2 linked regions of the Ovis aries genome follow. The protein of the gene in region 2 interacts with the protein of the main gene of each other region in a biochemical or structural test. Links are inferred from orthologs where the notes say so. Each region holds a gene or a part of one and is shown on either strand. Other genes may lie near its edges.

Region 1 (10,823 bases), on a different chromosome or scaffold from region 2:
CAAGAAGCTATTGGTAGCAGAGATGCTATACAGGAAACGGATTGGTGTACTGGGTGGAAAACTAGAGCGTGTACCCTCTACGGCCCCTTCCATCCCTGAAGCCCCATAGCCCAGTTTCCTCACTACTGCTGACCAGGTCTTGCCAGGAAACAGTTTGACTTATCCACCGAGTCCAAATCCAAATTGGGAACATTGACCCCATGAGACCTTTGAAGGCTTGCTCCTGCTTCGTTTTTGAACAATGAAGAAACACAACCAAAAGAGCTGGATCGGTACAGTCAGGGTCTCCATTACCCACTGGCAAAAGTGTCATTCCAGGGGAAATGCTCACACCACCTCCCCAGCCACTGCCCAGTGGCTCAAACTCCACCTAGAGCAGCAGCCCCTTCTCTGTAATGGCTTAATACTTAGTATAGAGCTGCCTCTTAGTATTACACTGGAAACTTCTTGCAATATAAAGGAGCAGAGAAAGTCATAGCACATGTGTGTTGATTGGCACAAAACCAATGGTGTGAATTTGTAAAGAGAAAGAGGGACATAACTGAAATAAGGAGGGCGATTCTACCATTTATTCTAGTCAGCAAGTATGTTCCCTAGAGTGACAAATAGGAAAAGAGAGTCTTCCATTCTCCCATGTGGCTGGTTTTCCCCCTTGAACTTCTCAGAGTATGAGTGCTATTTGAATAGATTTTCAAGAGGGGTATGTGTGTGTGTTAACTGTAATTTGATTCCTAGTTACACTTTGACTTCAGAATGTACCTTAGTGTCAGTGAAAGATGTGGGAGGTATACTAAATAGGAGGATCCTGAGAGGTGATGAGAGAGGCGCTCATACAAAACCCTGAAGAAGGCCTTGGGTTGTACGCGATCCTGAAGACAGGCAATGCCCCTGCGCAGCCTCAGAGACAGGGTAGAAAGTTGGCTCTGCAGCCGTTGGTTAAAGTTACAGAATAGTTTTGGTCATAATGCGTTGAACTAGCAGCCAGCACTCACCAGAAACCGTGGCCCATCGATGTGATGCTTCTTCACGACCTTTTCACAGTCCTTGTAGTTTAGCTGAAACAGAGGAGAGGAGGTGTAACAGTGCAGTCGGGTTCACGCCACTGGCTCCCCGTCCTTGCCTGCCCCAGGAGCTCAGCAATCTGTGGTGCTTGTGGCTAGCCAGGCTCCCCGCTCCCCCGCTGTCTGTCAGAGGCGCCCTATCCTTACATCAGCCCTGCTTTCACTAACTAACCCCTTGGGACTGTAAAATGGAGAAATTGCCTGTCGAAGGCTTTGAGGCCAACCCCTACAGAAAGAACGCTGCTAGAGCTGCCAAGGGCTGGCCATACGCTCCTCCGGCAAATGGAAAAGAGTTGAAAGAAGAAAACAAATAGTAGGCATCATCTGGTCACCCAAAGACAACCCGGGTGAACATGGCAATGTGTTTCCTTCAGTGGTTTTTCCAAAGCATCTTTCTAAACACAGTCAGTGTTATCATTCATATTCAATCTCCTTATCTTGTCTTTTTCTCTTGAAAAATAAAGGCACTGACTCATGTTATTACAAAGTGATTTTGAACATTATTTTAATTTGCTCTATTGCTGAATATTTCGTTATTTCCCCAAATTGCTGCTGTAACAATGATAATTGAAACTTCTAATAATTCCTGAATACTTGCCATATGGTAGGCACCATTCTAAGTGCTTAAAACAATTTTAATCATTTAAGCTTCATATTTTTCAAATGGAGAGTCAAAGGCACAAAGAGTCAAGTAACTTATACAAGGTTCCATGGATAGGCAGGTGGCAGAAGTGACAGCTGGGCTTCAGAGCAAGGTTTTAATGTCTCTATCAGGAGTATTCTCCTTTTAGTTACTAACAGTAAAACTTACAAACGGTAAGTGAACAGACTTAAGTGCAGCTTAACCTACAAGATCAAACAACATCATAGATATTCTTTTGCATAAAATTTTTTCTTCTGTTTTAAATAGTTGAAGTTAGAGTCTCAGAATAGGTTTACCGCCTCAACAGGAATGATCATTTTTAGAACCTGCTGCTTTCCTAGAGTCACACCAATTGACAATTGAAGCAGGTGTCTGTTTGGCCTAGTCCTCAACAGTGTGAGCAGTTACCTTTGAAATATCTCTAAATTTGAGGTTTCTAGCCAGAGAATTTAAGGTAAAATGTTTGTCCTTGAGAATCTCAGCTTCTCCTCGAAAGTATGGATTTCACAGTTTGTGGACACCTTTTTTTGGTAACTTAAAATCACAACCTTTTCTTATGGCCAAGAAATCAAAAGAGTGAGGGCAATTGTTGTGAACTTCATGGGATGACAGAGTAGGGTGAATATTAGAAAGCTCGGAAAAAATGATTTAGTGGTCCGTGGGAAGAAACCAGCTTCTGCATAGCCCCAAACATCCCTTTTATCCATGTTGCAAATGGTGAAATTGTTCTTGGAATGTTCAACTGCCTTTAATTCATCAGTTTCACCACCAGCGTTATGAGCTAAATCTCTGATTTTGCAGAGTTCTGACTTGGACTCTAGATAGACAGACAGTCCCGCAGACTGGGGCCTGCCCGGAAGTTTGGTTCTGAGTCAGTAATATCAGGCCTGGGAGTAAGACCTCTGTCCTTTCAGCATGCATGCATACATACTCAGTCCTTCAGTAGTATCCTGCTCCTTGTGACTCTGTGAACTGTAGCTCACCAGGCTCCTCTGTCCATGGGATTTTCCAGGCAAGAATACTGGGAAATCCAGGGGATTTCCTTCTCCAGGGGATCTTCCTGACCCAGGGATCGAACCCATGTCTCCTGCGTTGCAGGCAGATCCTTTACCAACTGAGATCCCAGGGAAGCCCTGTCTTTTTAGCATATACCCAGATAATTCTTATGAGTGACAAGCTCTGGTTGGCACTGCTCTGAGCAGGTACCTGGTGTTGTGGACAGGACAACTAAGGCCCAGAGAGGGGAAGGGACTGGCTGAAGGTCACACAGTGAGTTGGGGACGCAGCTAGGATTAGAACTCATGGCTCTGATCCAGAGTCTTTTCCGTTGCATGGTCCAAGGATCCCTTTCTGCTAAGTCAAAAGGAATCAGAGGACTTAAAGAAATAGAAAACATGACCTCAATCCTCAAGGGCTTAAGTTCTGGACAGAGGATGAGCTGCACATGTCTGAGACAGTAAGACACAAAAGCCTGCTGGTCTGCATGGAGTCCCCAGGCAGGGTCCGGTGAATAGAGTAGGAGAAAGGGAAGCTCGAACGTGAATCAGACCCCTCTCTGCTGGAGGCCTCACACATGTATCTCCTCTATTTATCCCGACAATCCCACGAGCCAATTACTACGAGTGTCTCTGTTTTACCGACGAGGAAGCTGAGGCACAGAGAGGTATAGTAACTAAGGGAGGGTCAGCAAGTTAGCAGGTGGCGGAGTCGGGATTCAAGCCAAGGTGTGGCTGACTCCAGAGCTGGTTGGGGAGGTGCCTCCAAGGGAGACCTGACCCCAGCGTTTCGTTAGAAAGTAAACCTTCTGGGATTTCCCTGGCAGTCCAGGGGCTGACTCCAAATACAGGATGCTTGGGTTCATGCCACAGCTGAGAGATCCAGCATGGCACAAATCAGATCCTGAACACCACAACTAAAACCCAGCACAGTCAAATAAAGAAACAAAAATTAATTGAAAGGAAGGAAAAGAAAATGGCATGCCTAAGTCAGAGACATGACACATTCCTTAATTTAAAAAAAAAAGAGAGAAATCGCATCTGCCAGTGGGTCTTCGGTGGCTAAGATCCAACCCCAAAGGACGCCACGGTCAGTTCACTTAGCATTTTCTCTCTGGGGGAAGTGAGGTGCTTAGCATTTAAAGGGTGTCTATCTGGGTCTGTAGAAGGGCCAGAACTTCCTAGATCACAAACACCCTTCAGTCTCCTCGTCCCTTCCTTCATGCGGGGAAGGGAACCTGTTCAGTTTCTGTGGACATGATCTGGAGTCCAGGGTCTGTAAGAAAATTCTCTCTTCCCCCAACTGAGGCAGAGAGCAGCTACGTGAGTCATCCTGACCTGCAGGCCATCTCCCTGTCCTGAACGGAACTTGGATTCCTCCGTTGCTGACCTGGGTTGTACAGTTCTCTTTCTCTTATTGGAGGCTGGGCCTCTGGCCCATCAGCCTGTCCCCAGAAGTGCCCTTGATAATTCTCAGTTCTTTTCTCCTTTCTGTATTGATCTAATATGCCAGTTTATAGCATCTTAGTAAATTTCACTGTGGCCCTCAGTTATTTGGTCTAAATTTAAGAAAAGCATTTAGAATAAATACTTTTGACTCTTTCAAAAGTCAGCTATCTCAACGATCTTTGCACCCACTGTGCTGAAACCTAAGGTTATTATGACTTCCAGTGAGGGAAAAATAACCGAAATGAGATGCACAGCAGGCAGCAAATAACAGGATCTGTGGGTTGTGCCTCTACCATGCCACACCCAATTCAACATTTTCACATTTTTCTTAGGGCAGAATAGTTGTGGCACTAAGTACTTTGGCACCATGTAGACCCCAGGTTTGGGTATGTGTTACAGGGAGCCTACCCCATACCAGGAAAAATAGTAAGTTAACTTAGAAAACCTCTAAGGTCATGACTTAAAACCATATCCTTGTGATAATCTGGAGTATCCACTGAATTGGATGCCAGCCTCCAGAAATGGGAGTGTTAAGAGCTCAGAGGTCCCTCACAAGACAACGTATCCCTTGGACAGTCATAGAGGGTCACATGACTTGGGATCTGCCCTAGCAAGCCTGTGACCCATGGCCCCACCAGCAGATGACCAAACACAAGGATCCTTGAGCTCCTTCAAGACGAGAAGGTGGGATAGCAACACTCTGGTCTCAGCTCTGCCACAAGCTTGGCCCCTGACCCTTCCCGGCAAATCTTTTCCTTTTCGGAGGCCTCAGTATCTGAAGGCCTGAGGCTCATGTCATTTCCCAGCCTGCATCATAAGACCCTCATGAAGTTCCCATGAGACTCTGTTCTAGGTAAGTGGTTGAATAGCTCTCTTTCAAAGTCACAAGCAATGACTTGCTCAGACGCCATCTCCAGCATCGTTCATCACAGTCTTCCACCCTGCCTTTCCTCTCTCCTACCCCTCAAGACTCCATGTTTCCTTTCGAGCAAGAAGCCTTGATCTCACTAGCAGTTATAGCGGTTCTGAGTCTCAGGGCACGGACTCTGATACTGGACAGGTGTGACCGGAATTCTGCCTCCATCACATGCAGTCCCTGGGGTTTGGGGCCAGTTAGCTTCCCTTGGCTTATTTCGCAGCTGAGCCAGTAGGACAGCAATCCTGGAGCGAGTTAGATGCGTCCGTGCCTGAAGGGGACAAACTCAAATCCTAGCGTGTAGTAGGCACTCGCCTCTTGAGGGCTTCCCTTCTCCCCAGAACGTATGGCCAGAGAGCTCAGTGTTGCTCCGTCAACCAGAGAGACTGCCCAAGGCTGGAAGCTCCGCTGCTGTCCTTCATGCCTCTCTCATTCTGCCTGCACTCCCTCTTCAAGCCTCTGCCCAGCCCCCCGGCCACTAAAGAGCAAGGCTCACCTTTTTGAAATAGTCTGCAAGGGCGTCAGGGTCCCAGTTCAGGACCTCAGAGCGAAAGGGCACGTTCTTGAATGCCATGTCTGCTCACTCAGGAGGAAGCTCACCAGCTGAGCATGGGCGCTGCACCCATGGACAGAGAACCCCAAATCCAGAGTCTGGAGGTGTCTTCAGCTCTTCCAACTCCCGGGTACCTTCTGGAAAAGTCTTGTTGGAGCCGATGTCCTTTCTGTTGCAGCCAGATCCCAGAAAGCAACAGCTTCCTCTGCGAACAAATATGGTCTCTTCTCAGAAAACGACTCAGCAAGTTTCCTTTACCACTTCCTCTGCTGGGCTCTAAATAAGTAAACAAGGAAGCCCAGCTCTGGGGACTCAAGAGGCAGAAAGAGCTACAGGCTGGTAATTCCCCGCTGGGCCCCATCTACCCCAGCCCAGTAGGAGGAGCGATGAAGGGAACTTAGACACTCAAGTGTGTTTCCATTGAAATCCCTGGCATCCATATGTTTAATATTTAAACCACATTCCTGCTTGGGTGGGTCTTTACAGATGAAAAATCTAATTTGACGGTTCACCTAAAATATAGACAATCTCCCACATCAGTGAAGGGGAAGGAACATGACCTTTCAATGCTTTCCAACCACGACTCAGTTTCTCTCAAAAGTGTTAAGGTTGAGCTTCTTTAGCTGCCCCTTATAGTTAGTACAAGTGGATCCTCTGAGTCAGTGAGTTGGGATCCAGAACTGAGAAAGGAGCACCACTGGGAAGACCTGGGCTTCATTTCTTTCTTTCTTTCTTTCATCTTCTTCTTCATCTGTTTATTTGGTGGCACCAGGTCTTGGCCACAACACACAGGATCTTTAGGTCCAGCACATGGGCTGGAGTTCCGTGACCAGGGACGGAACCCAGGCCCCTGCTGTGCGAGCATGGAGTCTTAACCACTGGACCAGCAGGACAATCCCCAGGCTTCATTTCAGATATACTTGTTTCCATGCTGGGCAACCTCAGGCAAAGGCTTAAACTCTAGGAAGCTCAGTTTCCATATGTGTAAAACAGGAACAGAAAAATTGCTTCATATGCGCATAAAACTATAGATGTATTTAGCTAGACAAACTTAAGGAAGGAAAAAAATAACAATTGCTACTGATGTTGCCATATAGTCTAGTCACTCTTGTTCCCCCAGACATTCTATCTGCTATTTATTCGTCCACATTTCTTTCTAAAGAGCACATCCCTGGAGACAGCAGGTGGGAGTCTGGGTTCTCTCTGTCAGTTTCTCAGACCCTGTGCACTTCTCGTAGCTGAGCATCTCCTGGACTGAGGGTGAACCCAGTGTCAAAAGTAAACATATCCGTGGAACACCACAGGCTCCAATTTCACCGTTCTATCTAGTGCTCCCCAGGAACACACAAACGACTGTCTGTCCTGAGGTTTGAGTCTGTTGCGTTTACTGAGTTGGCCCCTGAAGTGATGGCTTCCTGAAGCTTTTTCAAAGATCGCTTTGGCCATGCAGTTTCCATCGTATACGCAACCTCAGGAGCCCCACCCTCACTGTTATGCACCAACCTCGCCACGTCTTTATGTAAATAAGATCTGCCCTTTATCCCGGACTAAGCATCTTAATGGATGTGGTCCATGAATCTGAGTTAATGTCATCTTTACCTCCAAGGGCGCCAGAGGCATCAGCTGAGGCAGCCCAGGCCGAGCACTTCTCACAGGGCTGGAACCTCAGTGCTCTCTGCAACTGACCATGCCCTAGGAAGCATGGCCTGCTGCTCAAAAGTTCTACCACGGATGGGAGAGGCCCCTTCACTTTTTAAATCCCCAGAAGAGCAGCAAATGATAAAAAGCCCATTTGAAAAGAGAGGAAGAGAGATAAGTGGCTCCACATAAAGAAGTCAAAGAAGATATCATGGAATTAGCTGGGATTTAAGCAGGGCCTTGGAAGAGGCAGCTGAGGGAAGGCATTCTGAACCTGTGTGTGATATGTGACGTGGCATGGTCTGGAGTGTGTCTTGGGCTATGCTTCATGAGCAAACAAAACATTCCACACCTGTGCACCCCTGTGGAAAGGAACATTCGAGATCATCCTCAGAAAGAGAAGCAATTTTTTAAATGACGTTTACCATACTCACAAGAATCCAAATCTACAGAAAATCAGAAGTTGGAATTAACTTACAGCTAAACATGAGGTTCTTTTGGAAGAATTATCCAATGAATGTGGCCAAGATGGACAATCTCTAGACCCACGTAAAAGAGAGACATAGCAGTTAAGAAACCTGCATGACAGTGATGACAACGGGAATCACCAAGAATCACTGTGCAAAGGAGTAGCCCGAGGACTCTGCACTAATTGTGGGCACTGTATCACTCCTGCTCACAGAAGGGAAAACTCAGGCTCCGGAGGTAAAGCTTCTTGCCACCCTTGCACCCAGCAGGTAGGTGGTGCAGCAGGTCTTGTCTGGAACTGTCTCTGAGTCCAGAGCCCCTGCCCTTGACCTCTGTGCCACCTTGGGACTCTGAGATGTTCCATAAATTGCACAAGGTGGAGCAGAGGTTCAAACCCGGCTGGCTCTCCAGAGCCTATGCAGCGTCCTCTCTATCAGCCTGCCTTCCACGAAAAGCAGGCAAGGCTGGCGACCAGGGCTGGTTAAGAAGAGGACGCAGCACTTTCTCCAGGGCAGTTCTTCGGTGCCCCCTTCCCCACAGCGTCATAGACCCACTCCCCAAAACGGGGAGCTGGGCCAGGAATGCAGGTGGCGCAAGGGGAAGTGGGCTGCTTCAGGCTGGAGCCTTCCCACTTCCCCAGTCCTCGGTGATTTCCCGACACTCACGAGTTTCACAGCTCCTATCCCTGGCTGGAGAATTCCAGAAGTTCCAGGGGCGGGGCTAGCTGGACCCCAAGAGAGGCTCAGGATACCAGGAAGGCCAGAGTAACCTGGGGCAGCTCAGCTCACTTGGCCTGGCCTCAAGTTCTGCACCTATAAAATGGGCAGTCGTGAGAGCAGAGGAGATGCTGCGGCGAGGCAGGCTGGGGCCAGCTCTCAGTGGGCCTGACTTCAAGCACGAAGTAGAGCAGAGAGCAGGGAGCAGGTAAGGCTAGGTGAGGTAGAGCCGTGGCTTGGGGGTGGACACCCTCTCCCATCTCTCTCTCCTCCAGCAAGAGGGAAAAGCAGAACTCATGAGGGGTTTTGCTCAAACTGAAAGGTTGTGAAGGCCTTCTAAGGCTTTGTAATCTCTTTCTCCAGGTTAGGGTGATGGTCAATGGTCTGTGCACAATAACAGCAATTCATATCAGTACATGGGGATGGGGGCTCTTGGGGTAGGGATCTTAAATGTACATCCAATAGAGCCTGTGGACAAGAAAGCAAATCTTGCAGGGAGCAACATGTCAGATTTTTAGGGCTTAGAGACAAAAGGTGGCTATGGGAGCAGTGTGCACTGCAACCCAGAGTGAGAGGAGGATCTCCTAATGTGCCCCCTACCCCACCCTGCCCGGTCCAGACTTGCAGCTCTTTTTCCTACTAACCCACAGAAGAATTTGATGAGGAGATAACTGCCTTTCTTCACAGCTAATTTTAGAAGTGAGAAAAACGCGATTTGCTAGAAGAGGCTTGTGGGTTGCAGCCTGGGGGTGGGGGTGGGGGGCGGGGTTGGGGGCCAGGGATGGGAGCTGTCGCTTGAGGACCAGGGGGGAATGGAAACATAGAGACCATGAAGGAGAGCCCGTGTTGACGCGTTTAGGAGAGGGACCCACGGAGCTGAAAAGTGGAAGGCAGGACATGCTTATTCTGATGTGATTTGGACAGAGGGTATTGGCTGGGGAAAAGAGACCAGGTGGTGGCCTGTGGCCCAGAGACAGTGGCACCTCGGGGCACTGCGGGCCATGGAGAGAGTGCCCTCACAAGGGTTCACTCCAGTTTCACCTCCACCAACCTGTTAAGGCTCCATACATCCCCTGGGGCCAAGGCCAATCGCTCCTGGAAGTTTTCCTTGGGGCCTGTCCATGTTTGTCTACAGTGGGAAGAAGAGCTGTAGCTGTCACCTCCCAGGGAGAAGCCCATTCTCTGCTCTGCTCTCCGAGGCCGGCGCTGGAAGCACTCTCTGTGTGCAATCCCTCTGGATACTGAGGGCTCCACCCACACAGGAGGTTCCAAACGGGGGCACAGGACGGGGTCCTGGCCGTTCGGTGAGCTGGCCGTCCTCTGCACCACGCAGCGTGCACTAGACAGAGCGGGCCCTGCCTGGGGCGTGCCTTCCAGGAAGGCCAGGCCTGCAGCGGCCGCCCGTGTGCAGGGACGCTCCTCCCCGTGCTCCTGGAGGCTGGAGTGGGAGTGCGCGGAGCGGCTCAGGCGAGCCCCAGGGCAGCGCTTCTCCAGGCCGCCCTGCGGTTTGTGTCCTGGCGACCACCCCTGTCTGGACACAGTCACCACCCCCCACCCATCCCTGGATACGCAGCAGGAAAGCATGAACCAGTCGCTGCTTGTGAGGTAATGAGCGGCAATAGTTTCCACTTCCTCAGAGCTGACAATTTCATACTTTGCAAAAAATGTGTATTTTTCATCCTCTCTCTGTGTCTCTCTTTCTCGGCTGTTTTGGCTGAGGTGCGTCAGAATGTGGAAGGTGGGTGGGAGGAAGTGCTTATTTGGACTTCCTGTCAAGCCTGTCTTCCTCATTTGCCCTATATTTCACTGTGGGCAGCCTATCCCCAGATAGCTCTGCCGTGAAAGGAAACTCCCCAAGTGCCGGCAAGGGTGGGTAGGCTGTGGGCAGGGAGCCAGAGAGGGGAAGGCAGGCTTCTCAGCTTGATAGAGGAGAAAAAAAACCTTGCCTCCTCCTCCTCCTGCCCCTGCCCAGGCCAGCTGGAGAAAGGCAATGGAGGAGGGGTAGAGTGCATGCAAGAAGAGCAATGCTCCCCGAAGCCCCACAAAAGTGACTGTGGCCCACTCTAGCCCACCCTCCCAGGGAGAGCATGCCCACCCCTGTGTGCTCAGCTGCTTCAGCTGTGTCCCGCCCTTTGTGACCCCACGCACCGTAGCCCGCCAGGCTCCTCTGTCCACGGCGATTCTCAGGCAGGAATACTGGAGTGGGTTGCCGTGTCTTCATCCAGGGGACCTTCCCGGCCCAGAAATGGAAGCTACTCTTCCGTCTCTTGCATTGGCAGGCGAGCTCTTGACCGCTAGTGCCATCCGGGAAGCTCCGCCTGCCCCTGAGACGAAGAGATTTGCAGCCGACAAGCCCAGCAGCCCGGCAGGGATCAAATCTGTTA
Region 2 (10,040 bases):
AAATATTCACTCTAGTAAAATATAAATACATAGTCTCAAAAGGACACAATGCGGAATCTATCAAATGCATCTACAACCAAAACTTTGCATAGGGGAATTCCCTGTAAACACACGGCACCATTATCAAAATGTGAGGTCGGGGGTGGGGGGGAAGCCAAACAGGCAGGAAGTCCATTTTTCAGAACACTGAGAGGTAAACTTTTGACACGTGTCGAGTTAAAGCCTCAATGAATCTGAGCTTGAACAAGATAATACCACGCAAGGGAGAATCATTCTAAACCATACCACAGAAAATCAGTCAATTCTGATGTTTTCCTTCTAGGCTTGATGTTCCAGAAATCACCTCTAATTAAAGGTTCCGAAAAAGAATGTACAAAATGCCAAAAAAGTAAACAGGGATGATTTTGGATAAGTTGCGGAATGTCATCTTCTGAACGATAGTTTTATCTTGAAGCTACCAGTGTCACGGTAGTTATAGTTAAAAGCTGTGCATCTGCATCACCAGGCAGTCAACATATCACATGATTTAGAAAGCGTTGACTTCAACACCATCCAGCAATCGCTCTGAGAGTTTTATCTGAACACCGTAGGAAAATTAAATCTCTCTCACATCAGGGAATACCCTTTCCCAGAAAGTGTCCAAGAAGACCGCAGCCAGTTCAAAGTTGAAGTGATAATTAAAGGAAGTATTTATACTTCTGCAGGAGAATCTTTTAAAGCCACTTTGAAGCCCATCTATAAAGGGCTTCTTGCAGTATTACTCTGGTGGGTTGGGTGAATCAAAGGGTTAATTACTCCTTTAATAACTCCAAAGTCATTAACTCTAATGAAGGTGAGGATATAGATGAGGAAATAAAGATCCTATTCCAAGTTGGAGGGCTACATCGACAACCACACTGCTCTATACAGGATCAACTTTACTTGCTAATGGTGCCGTGTGGGCTTTTCCCCTCTGCTGTGCTTATCTCTTCTGCAATCTCTTTGACCCTCAGTAGGAGGCAGTATTGAATAAAAATAGAGAAACTGCATTGGCGTCAGACAGAGGTGGGCTCTATATTAACACTTCCTAGCTCTGTCACTTCGGGCAGGTGTCCAAGCTTTTCAAAGCCAAAGTTCCATTATCTGTAAAATGGGAATGATAATAATACCTCACAGTGTTGGTGTGAACTCAGGGTGAACTGAGATTCTGCAGATAAGGCCTGTAGCTCTGTACATTTTCACTTTGCATATTCAGGTGCTCAATAACAAGAGGCATCTTTGTGCATCTTGGAAGTCCCCGACTCAGTACCTGACTCAGTTTCCATCCAGGTGGTTTGAGCAAGAACAGACCTCTTGTTCCTCCCTTAGAATTTAGGGAGACTTGAAGTCTCAACCTTGAAGTTGCAAATCTCTAGGGCCGAAACAAGCTTCAGTTTCTCTACCAGGCCACAGTGCCTGGCACAAGTCTGCACTCTGTTGGTGAGGATGGAAGAATGCAGAGAGGGGTCTGATTGTTTACAGAAGCCATGGTTCCACCCCCACCACTGCCCCCCAACCCAGGATGCTGCGGAAGCATTCGGCATGAAAGGGGAGGCAGAGTCACCTGCTTGACTTGGTACTAAAGATGAGCATCCAAGTGGTAACAGCCTAAGGCCTTTTCTTGTACCAGGTAGTTCCATCATCTGATGCCCTCTTTCTGCCCAGACGCCAGATATCCAATGCTCCAGCAGTGAGATCAGAATTGTTCACCCCAGTCCATCATGCTCTCTTCAAGGAGAGGGTAGCAGTGTACTCTATGAGTAAAACCTCACAAAGCTGCTTCTCAGCATATCCGGTCTCTGAGGTAAGCAATTGTTCCATCATCTTCTGAGGCAGGAAACTGTGGCTGACAGCATCACAGAGGCAGAGCTTACTCTTTGTGACTTTAATTAACTCATTAGTTCTCCTTGAGAAATTGTCATGCTCCTTGATCATCTCGCCCCATATTTTGGGATTCTGTATTGCTGGGTCAAATAAAGAATCCCTTGACCATGAACTTTAGATGCATGTTTAAAAAAATAATGAAGGTAATAATCCAGGGTCCTACACCATCTCTCCCTTCTCTAAGAAGTGCAAGAAGTGTTGCCTTAAAGCTGTTGATTGAGGTTTGTGCATTACGCAGAAGAGGCTGGAGGAAGGGTAGGGACATCACTGCTGCTCTGGCCCCGCCCCCAGTGCAGTGGCTGAGCCTTCCGCCTGTGGCCTGGCGCCAGCCTCTAGCAGGCTGCTGCCTCCGTGGCAGTTTAGGGACTGGCGCGACAGGCCAGTTGCCTCTGGGGAGTCCTGGGCTGGTGGCAGCTTTTAATGCTCTGTGGAGGGAAGACCTCCTTCCCCTACTCAGGATCTGTAGCCCGTGGCCCAGCACTGAGTCTCTTTTAAAGCCCCAGTTCTGCAATTTCAGCCAGTTGACTCAAGAGTCTGGAGAAAGGTGGCCGGTCTTCTGGTTTCTAGGAAGAGAAAGAAAGGTTATTCGGTGATTTCCTTGTACTTGTGTGTCATAGCTAATTCCAAAGCAAACCAGCATTAAACTGCAATACTTTTTACTTATTTTTAAATATGCTTCTGTATATGTTGTATTTGACAGCATTGTGTCTTAGTTGTTAACAGCAGGCATTTTGGAATCAAAATATGGCCTGCTTTTGAATTTCAGCTTTTCCACTTAGCTGTGTGACCTTGAATAGGTTATTTAACGTCTCTGAACCTCAGTTTTTTATCTGTAAAATGAGGATAATAATATTATCTATCTCATAAGATTGTTGAGAGAATGAAATAAAGTCATATATAAAACGTAACATAAATAAGCGCTAAATAGCATCAAAAAATAAATATTTGGGTATAAATCTCATAAAATGTGTATAGGATCTATACTAGGAAAAATATGAAATTCTAAAACAAGATATCAAAGAAGATCTAAGTAAATGGGAAAATATTCCATCTTTGTGTATAGGAAGACTTTATATTGTTAAGATGACATTTGTTTTCAACTTGATCTATAGATTCAACACAATTACAGTAAGAACCGAGCAACTTATTTTGTAGATACTGACAAAATGACTCTAAGGTTTATGTGCTGTGCTGTGCTTAGTTACTCAGTCATGTCCAATTCTTTGGGACCCCATGGACTGTAGCCCACCGGGCTCCTCTGTCCATGGGGATTCTCCAGGTAAGAATACGGAATGGGTTGCCAGGCCCTCCTCCAGGGGATCTTCCCAACCCAGGGATCAAACCCAGGTCTCCCACATTACAGGTGGATTCTTTACTGTCTGAGCCATCAGGGAAACTCCTAAGGTTTATATGGAAAGGTAAAAGACTCAAAATAGCCAACACAACACTGAGCAAGGTGAACAAGGTTAAAAGACTGATACTCCTCGACTTTAAGACTTACTACAAAGCTTTAGTAATCAAGAGTCTGTGATGTTGGTGAAAGAATAGACAGATAAATGGAGTAGAGTTAGGATCCCAGAAATAGGCCTACACAAATGTAATCAAATCTACCCCTTCTTCCTCTCTGACAGTGTGTTGATGGCTTGTACCATTATATTGCAAATCAAATAATATATAAGATCTCTGCCAGCTCTTCTAGAGATAGGGAACTCCTTCTTCCGGTAATAGGTGCTCAACGTCATTTTCTTGCTAATCTGTTTTGTCACCCCTACTGCCTCATCCTCTGAGAGGGCTCCTTCTTTGGGGGATGGGGGCAGACCCTGAAGTTACAGATTATAATGTGAGGGACGGAGAAGGGGGAACCACTTCCTTTACTGACCTCTTTCCAGCAATGATTCATGATCTGGTAGACATGCTGGGAGGCCAGTCGGGGCTTGTATAACCGAAATCCAGTGGTGATGTCTTCTACCACCTCTGAGTTACTGCGGTTTTCATATGGGATTTTGCCTTCACTGAAGACTTCCCACATCAGCACACCTATGAGAAATAGGGAATCAAAACAGGTAGTGATAAAGTTCATAAATAACAACAAACTCACATCTAGAAATCACAGACCCTTTGAAATTGAAATTTGAGTCTCTACCACCAGAAAGTGCAATGTCAAACCACCTAAGCCTTACTGCTGCTGCTGCTGCTAAGTCACTTCAGTCGTGTCCGACTCTGTGCGACCCCAGAGATGGCAGCCCACCAGGCTCCCCATTACCTGGGATTCTCCAGGCAAGAACACTGGAGTGGGTTGCCATTTCCTTCTCCAATGCATAAAAAGTGAAAAGTGAAAGTGAGGTCGCTCAGTCATGTTCGACTCTTCGCGACCCCATGGACTGTAGCCTACCAGCTCCTCAATCCATGGGATTTTCCAGGCAAGAGTACTGGAATGGGTTGCCAAAGCCCTGTACTATTTCTGAAGAACAGAGATTTCCCAAATGAAGAATGTTCAAGCTCAGCCCTTAGTTATATCTAACTCAAATGCTACAACTAAAGTTTGCAGGGGATGTAAGCTCAACTGTCTACACATGATGTAGATGGATGGAGTAAATGAAGTCTGCATAACAGGGACTAGTGAGGACTGTGGAAAACCAGAAGTTAAAAGTTCTGTCCCCAAAGGGACAGCTGTGATTTAGCTCCAACAAGAGTAGGGCAGTTGGGAATGGGGGTTCAGGATTGCCACATTTGTCTGATTTACTTTAAAAGATAAATCATAAATTGGTAGTTTAAAAATGCAAACTCAATTTGATTAAAAAAATACTGTGTTAACTGAGCAAAACTCTTCAAGTTGTCTATTTTTGACCTCTGATTTAATCACTTTTCCTTTTCTGCCTTCAGTAGAAATTACACCCAACTTTACTATGTACTTAAATCTATTCATTGGATGTCACAGTGGGAACAGAGCTTGCAGGTCACCTAATCCAGTAGTTTTCAAAACAGAGTCCAGAGAACTCAAGGGAAGAATTTTGATTCTTCCATTTGATTCAAAATATGATCCCTCAAGTGTCTGAAGTCTTGAAAAATCATGTCAGAAATTTGTCCCAGTGGCAGATCCTGGGGCCCAATCCTGACAATTGGATGAGAATTTCTGAGGGAGCCTCAAAAGTGCCTCGGGAGTTTGGGGAGATTCAGTAAATAAGGCTATTTAACACCCCAAGATGCCAGGATTTCTAGTGAGCTTTCTTTGGAAAATGGGGGTTTGCTGCTCAAAGCTGGCTGGAAAACAATTGCTTTTATGCAAACCTTGTAATGCACTGAGGAACTAAGTACGGCCCCAAAGAGGATAGTTGACTTCTTTAAAATAGCGTAGTTCATTAGGGCAAAAGCCTTAAAATGCGTGACAAAGGCCAATGGCCTTGAGGCAGGCAGCGAGCTCTCCTCCCTCCACATTTCTGTTTCTCAGGGTTGTCACCCCAGTTTTCTCACCCTTCCTACTCTGCTTCCATCAGTCAGCCTCATCTTTGGACACTTCAGATGACGCATCCTAGGAAGGGACAGACTCTAAGCTCAATCCTCTAATTATAAAATGCAGCAGCAAAGTCCTAGGCTGACAACCTGTGGCAGAATAAACACCATTCCGAGTCAGTGGGTCAGTGTGACAAAGTGGCCATGGCTGCAATCGTTTCTTTATGGAACAACTGGCTTGGTGCAACATAACCAGCTGTACCCAGGGAGAGTGGGCACACCCTTCCTAGTTGTATGCACTGGGGCAAAGAGGATCTGAGGTTGCTCTAGTGCAGTTTTATTTCTTCTGAGTTCATTCTGTACCTTCAGTTTGATTATCAAAGTCATAGCTAGGCCTGTTGAACAGAGGAACTACTTTAAGGAACAATTTTTGTTGTTGTTGTGGTTTCGTAGCTAAGTCGTATCTGTCTCTTTTGTGACCCTGTGGACTGTATCCTGCCAGGCTATGGGACATTAAATCCCTCTGTCCATGGGATTTCCCAGGCAAGAATATTGCAGTGGGTTGCCATTCCCTTCTCCAGGAGATCTTACTGACCCAGGGCTCAAACCTTGGTCTTCTGCGTTGACAGGTGTATTCTTTACCACTGAGCCACCTGAGAGGTCCAAGGAACAATTTAGAAGGACTCAAAATAAACATACCACTTGGCTGGTAATGGATATTCTAAAGTACTGAAGAAGACTAATTAGTTCTTTTCCTAAGGGATTTAGTCTTCTCCCTGGTTTCTACTACTAGTCAATATACTTGGCAAATCTTCCCTTCATACAGAATGACAACATCAAACTCCAAACCATTCCTGTCCAAAGTAGAATCCTTACACTCCAGATCAAAGAGGTTGTCCAGTACAGTTTTGTGCACACTTTAATATGCACAGGCTATGATTTACAAAGACATGACACTTCCAGCAAGAACATTTAGTGCTTCTTGTCACATGGGCATCATTCATTCTTTCATTCATGCCCATCTGCACTTATGAGAAATCGAATTCTTTACCATGGCCAACCAATTTCATGGCCTACATTTCTCCTGCTAAGTCAGTACTCCCTTTTCTTTGGACACACCAAACTTTGGCACTTGCTGCTGCCTTTGTTAGGGACACTCTTTCCTGGATCTTCAAATGGAGACATCTTCCTCTCATCATTCAGCTCTCTGCTCAACAGTCACAGAGAATCTTGGAGAGGCCTTCCTGGATGGATCCTGCTATTTAATACAGATCCTCCCTCCATTATAGTCTCTCTTTGCCCCATTACTGCTTTGTTTTTTACATAGCACTTGCTTACTACTCCCTGACTTGACTTTACACACATATTTACTAGCTTGTTTACGTGACTGTTATCTCTCCTTAAAACTTGGCTCCAAGAAAACAGGAGTCTTTTCTATCCTATGTAACAATGCTTTGTGAGCACCCAAATTAGCCCCTGGCATGTAGTAGATGCTAAAAAAATCATTGTTGAATGAAAGGGAAATAAACTCACTGAGGGTTAAATGTGGGAATAAACATAATGTTGCAAAAAAACATGGTTCCTGCCCTCCAGGGACTCATATTCTAATCTTCTGACTCCTCCATCTCTTGATCTCACAGCAGCTGTCATCAGCATCCTGTTTTCATTTTTATTTTTACCCCCATTTCAAAAATAACCAAGAATAAATACAACAATGAGTCTGCAGACCCTCACTGGGATGCCCTCACCATCCCAGCAATTGGACAAATGAAACAACTGGCACACAGTCCCAGGTTGTGTGGGTGTGGGGCCAGAATGACACTTACCAAATGACCACACATCTGACTTGCTGCTGTAGCGACTGAAGGAGAAGACTTCTGGAGATGCCCACTTCACTGGGAATTTGGTGCCTGTGGAACTGGTGTATTGGTCATCAAGGACGAACCTGGGAAGAGAGAGGAGAGAGATGGTCCGAGTGTCCTGGGGGCCTGCGTCCCATTCCTGAGACTTTGCTGGTACCACATCCCCATGTTACCTTGTCATCCCAAAGTCGGACACCTTGATGACTTGGTTTTCCCCAACTAAACAATTCCGGGCAGCCTGGAGCAGAGACAGGCAAACAAAAGGGAAAAGAAAACTTGGTGAGTAATCAGTAATTAAGGAGTCTCCTATAATCACAGTGCTTTGCTTATATGGGAGCAATAAGGAGCTTCACAAATGTTAATTAAGCATCACTAGTGCGCGATGGAAACTGAATGCGTAAGCTCTTTTTATCAGGGTGAGTAAATCTCATCTTTCATCTTCATTCCTGGGATCCTAATCAAAAAAGAAATCCATGGTGTTGTGTAACCAATTATAAGCTCCAGTGCAACCTGATGTGAATCTTAGGGATGGTATGGAGAAGCTGTCATCCATTTGACTAAAGTGAGAATGTATTGAGGTTGCTAATTCTCTTAAAACTATTCCTCAATGGGGAGATGACATGGTCCCTAACTCACATCACAGAGTCTTGGATTTGAAGATCCCTTACTGATAAAAGATCCAGTGAGTCTTAAATTCTAATGTGCCTGCAAATTCCATGGGGTAGACATGTTAAAATGAATATTCCTGCGCCTCAACCACCAGAAATTCTGAGGTTGGTTCTAGGATCACCCCAATGCGATCCTGATAGATCCTTGGATAACATTTTAAGAAAGCATGTGCTTGTCAACTTCTCTCATTTTACCAAGAGGATGTGGAGACATAGAGAGGTTAAGGAGGAGCCGCTGTTAGCTTCATTTTGGAAGAATGTAAACTCCAACTTAGAGAGTGGAAGTTAGAGGTGGGGCTGGGAATAGAGCCCAGAACTGAGTCCCATGAGGCTCTCCCACATGGGTGGAGGAAGGAAGAAGTTGCAACGGGGAGGAAGAAAGCTTGTGCCTTTTTATTGATTCGTGCCGTTCCCAGACTTGGTAGTTCTGCATTTCAGTGGGACATGCCCCTTTACCCTGGACTTGTAGGGTTTTGCCCTGCATCCTCTTACCAAGTCTCTGTGGATGACACACTTCTCTTCCAGGTAGGCCATGCCCTCACATACGTCCAGACACATGCCCAGCAGGGTCTCCGCGGCAAAGAGCCCCCTCTGGCTACGCAGGTAATCTGACAGGCAGCCGTGTTCCATGAACTCAAACACCAGGCAGATGGGGGCCTGTTCCAGGCATACTCCATAGAGCTGGACTAGTTTGGGGTGAGAGAGTTTCCTGGAGAACAATGGCAAGAGTTGAGATGGTCTAAATTCAGTTTCCCAAAATACACTCCCTCCCTCAAACAAAAATGTCTCATTGAGCTGAAGAATGGCGCGGACTCAGCTGGTGTGTGTGAGGACAACGAAGGTCAGTGTGACTGGCATGCATGGAACCAGAGGAGAGATGGGTAGGAGATGAAGTTAAGGAGTGGGCAGGGCCAGACCATGGCAGGCGTTCTAGACCACAGTGAGGAGCTTGGTGTTATTCTCCATGCCATAGGAAGCCATCGCTGGACTTGGGCAGGGAGGTGGCATAAGACGACATTAGAATGGTATTGAAAGATCACAGTGCTCTCTGTGTGGCCACTCACATCATGACTTCAGCCTCCTCAATGAAGTCCTCTTCTGACATAGCCCCTTCTTGAATGGTTTTGATGGCCACCTTGTCCTTGTTGAGCCAGTAGCCAAGATGCACCAACCCAAACTGCCCACTGCCAATCTCCTGCACAAAAGTGAGCTCTGAGGGATCAATCACCCATTTCCCTGGAACAGAAAGAGAGGGTTTTCCAGAGTTGGCAAGCAGTAGATATGAGGTATAGGACTACCAGGAAACTATACTGCTCTATATAGAATGTTAGACTATCGTTAATGTAGCTCAAAGATGGCAAATGGTATAAGCCCTCATACTTAGAACTATAGATAGGTAAAATTATCTTTTTCCCAAATAATTACATAGAATGTGCACTGAAAACCATGAAAAAATGTGTGTGGGGACGATCACATGGAAAGAGGACGGAGGACGGCATTAGTTGAGATATTAAAGTCAATGAAAGGGTTCTAAGGTCCCAATCATCTCCTATACCTAATCGAAAATTGTTCTTGCCATTTTTCATGTAGAGCAAGTTTTATTTGAATTGGTCATTCATTCATGCATTTATCCATCAAGAGCATCCATTTTGTAGACAGCACTTGTTAGGCCTTAGCGGAGGTAAGGCAGTGGATTCCAGGTGGAGTGGTACAGAGGTGCAGGCCAGCACACGGCCTAGCACAAGGCAGGCTCTCAACAAATGCTCAGCAAGTGAATAAAAGGGATCTGAGTCTCAACCTCCATGCTGACAGAAATGAATGGGTTCATAAAATACTCTCTGGGCTTCCACCCAGCATGAACACATTAGGATTCTACAGGTATTGGAGTTACTTTGTTTTTGTCAGGAGGCTGAGGGGCACTATCCTCTCCTGGCGCTTGGTCTAGTACCATAAACAGTTCAGTTTCTACCTCTCTGAGGCAGAGACTCAATAGGAAGCAGTACCAAGAACCCACAGTGTGCAGACATGGCGCTGGTTACAGATGAGGAGCCCACAGCGACATTTCTCAAAGTATCACCCTCTAACCCCTGGTGTCAGAATCACCCAGGGCACTTGCTGAAAATGCAGCTCCAGGACCCAACTGTCAGGGATTGCGTTT

The links.
Region 1: the proteins of ITK (region 2) and LCP2 form a complex in vitro, tested with the Homo sapiens proteins (2 studies listed by BioGRID, with this or other methods). The link is inferred for Ovis aries from reciprocal best matches to the Homo sapiens genes ITK and LCP2.

The regions. Positions count from the first base shown.
Region 1 is NC_056069.1:2,360,526-2,371,348, forward strand, and holds the start of LCP2 (lymphocyte cytosolic protein 2), read right to left. Parts: upstream 5,848-10,823; 5' UTR 5,639-5,847; coding exon 5,561-5,638; intron 5,002-5,560; exon of another isoform or gene 4,740-5,001; intron 1,056-4,739; coding exon 993-1,055; intron 1-992. UniProt on the Homo sapiens protein: Adapter protein primarily involved in signaling pathways within T-cells, as well as other immune cells such as platelets, mast cells, and natural killer (NK) cells.
Region 2 is NC_056058.1:66,503,935-66,513,974, reverse strand, and holds part of ITK (tyrosine-protein kinase ITK/TSK), read right to left. Parts: intron 9,119-10,040; coding exon 8,947-9,118; intron 8,592-8,946; coding exon 8,375-8,591; intron 7,453-8,374; coding exon 7,388-7,452; intron 7,298-7,387; coding exon 7,179-7,297; intron 3,940-7,178; coding exon 3,782-3,939; intron 2,466-3,781; coding exon 2,394-2,465; 3' UTR 1-2,393. UniProt on the Homo sapiens protein: Tyrosine kinase that plays an essential role in regulation of the adaptive immune response. Regulates the development, function and differentiation of conventional T-cells and nonconventional NKT-cells.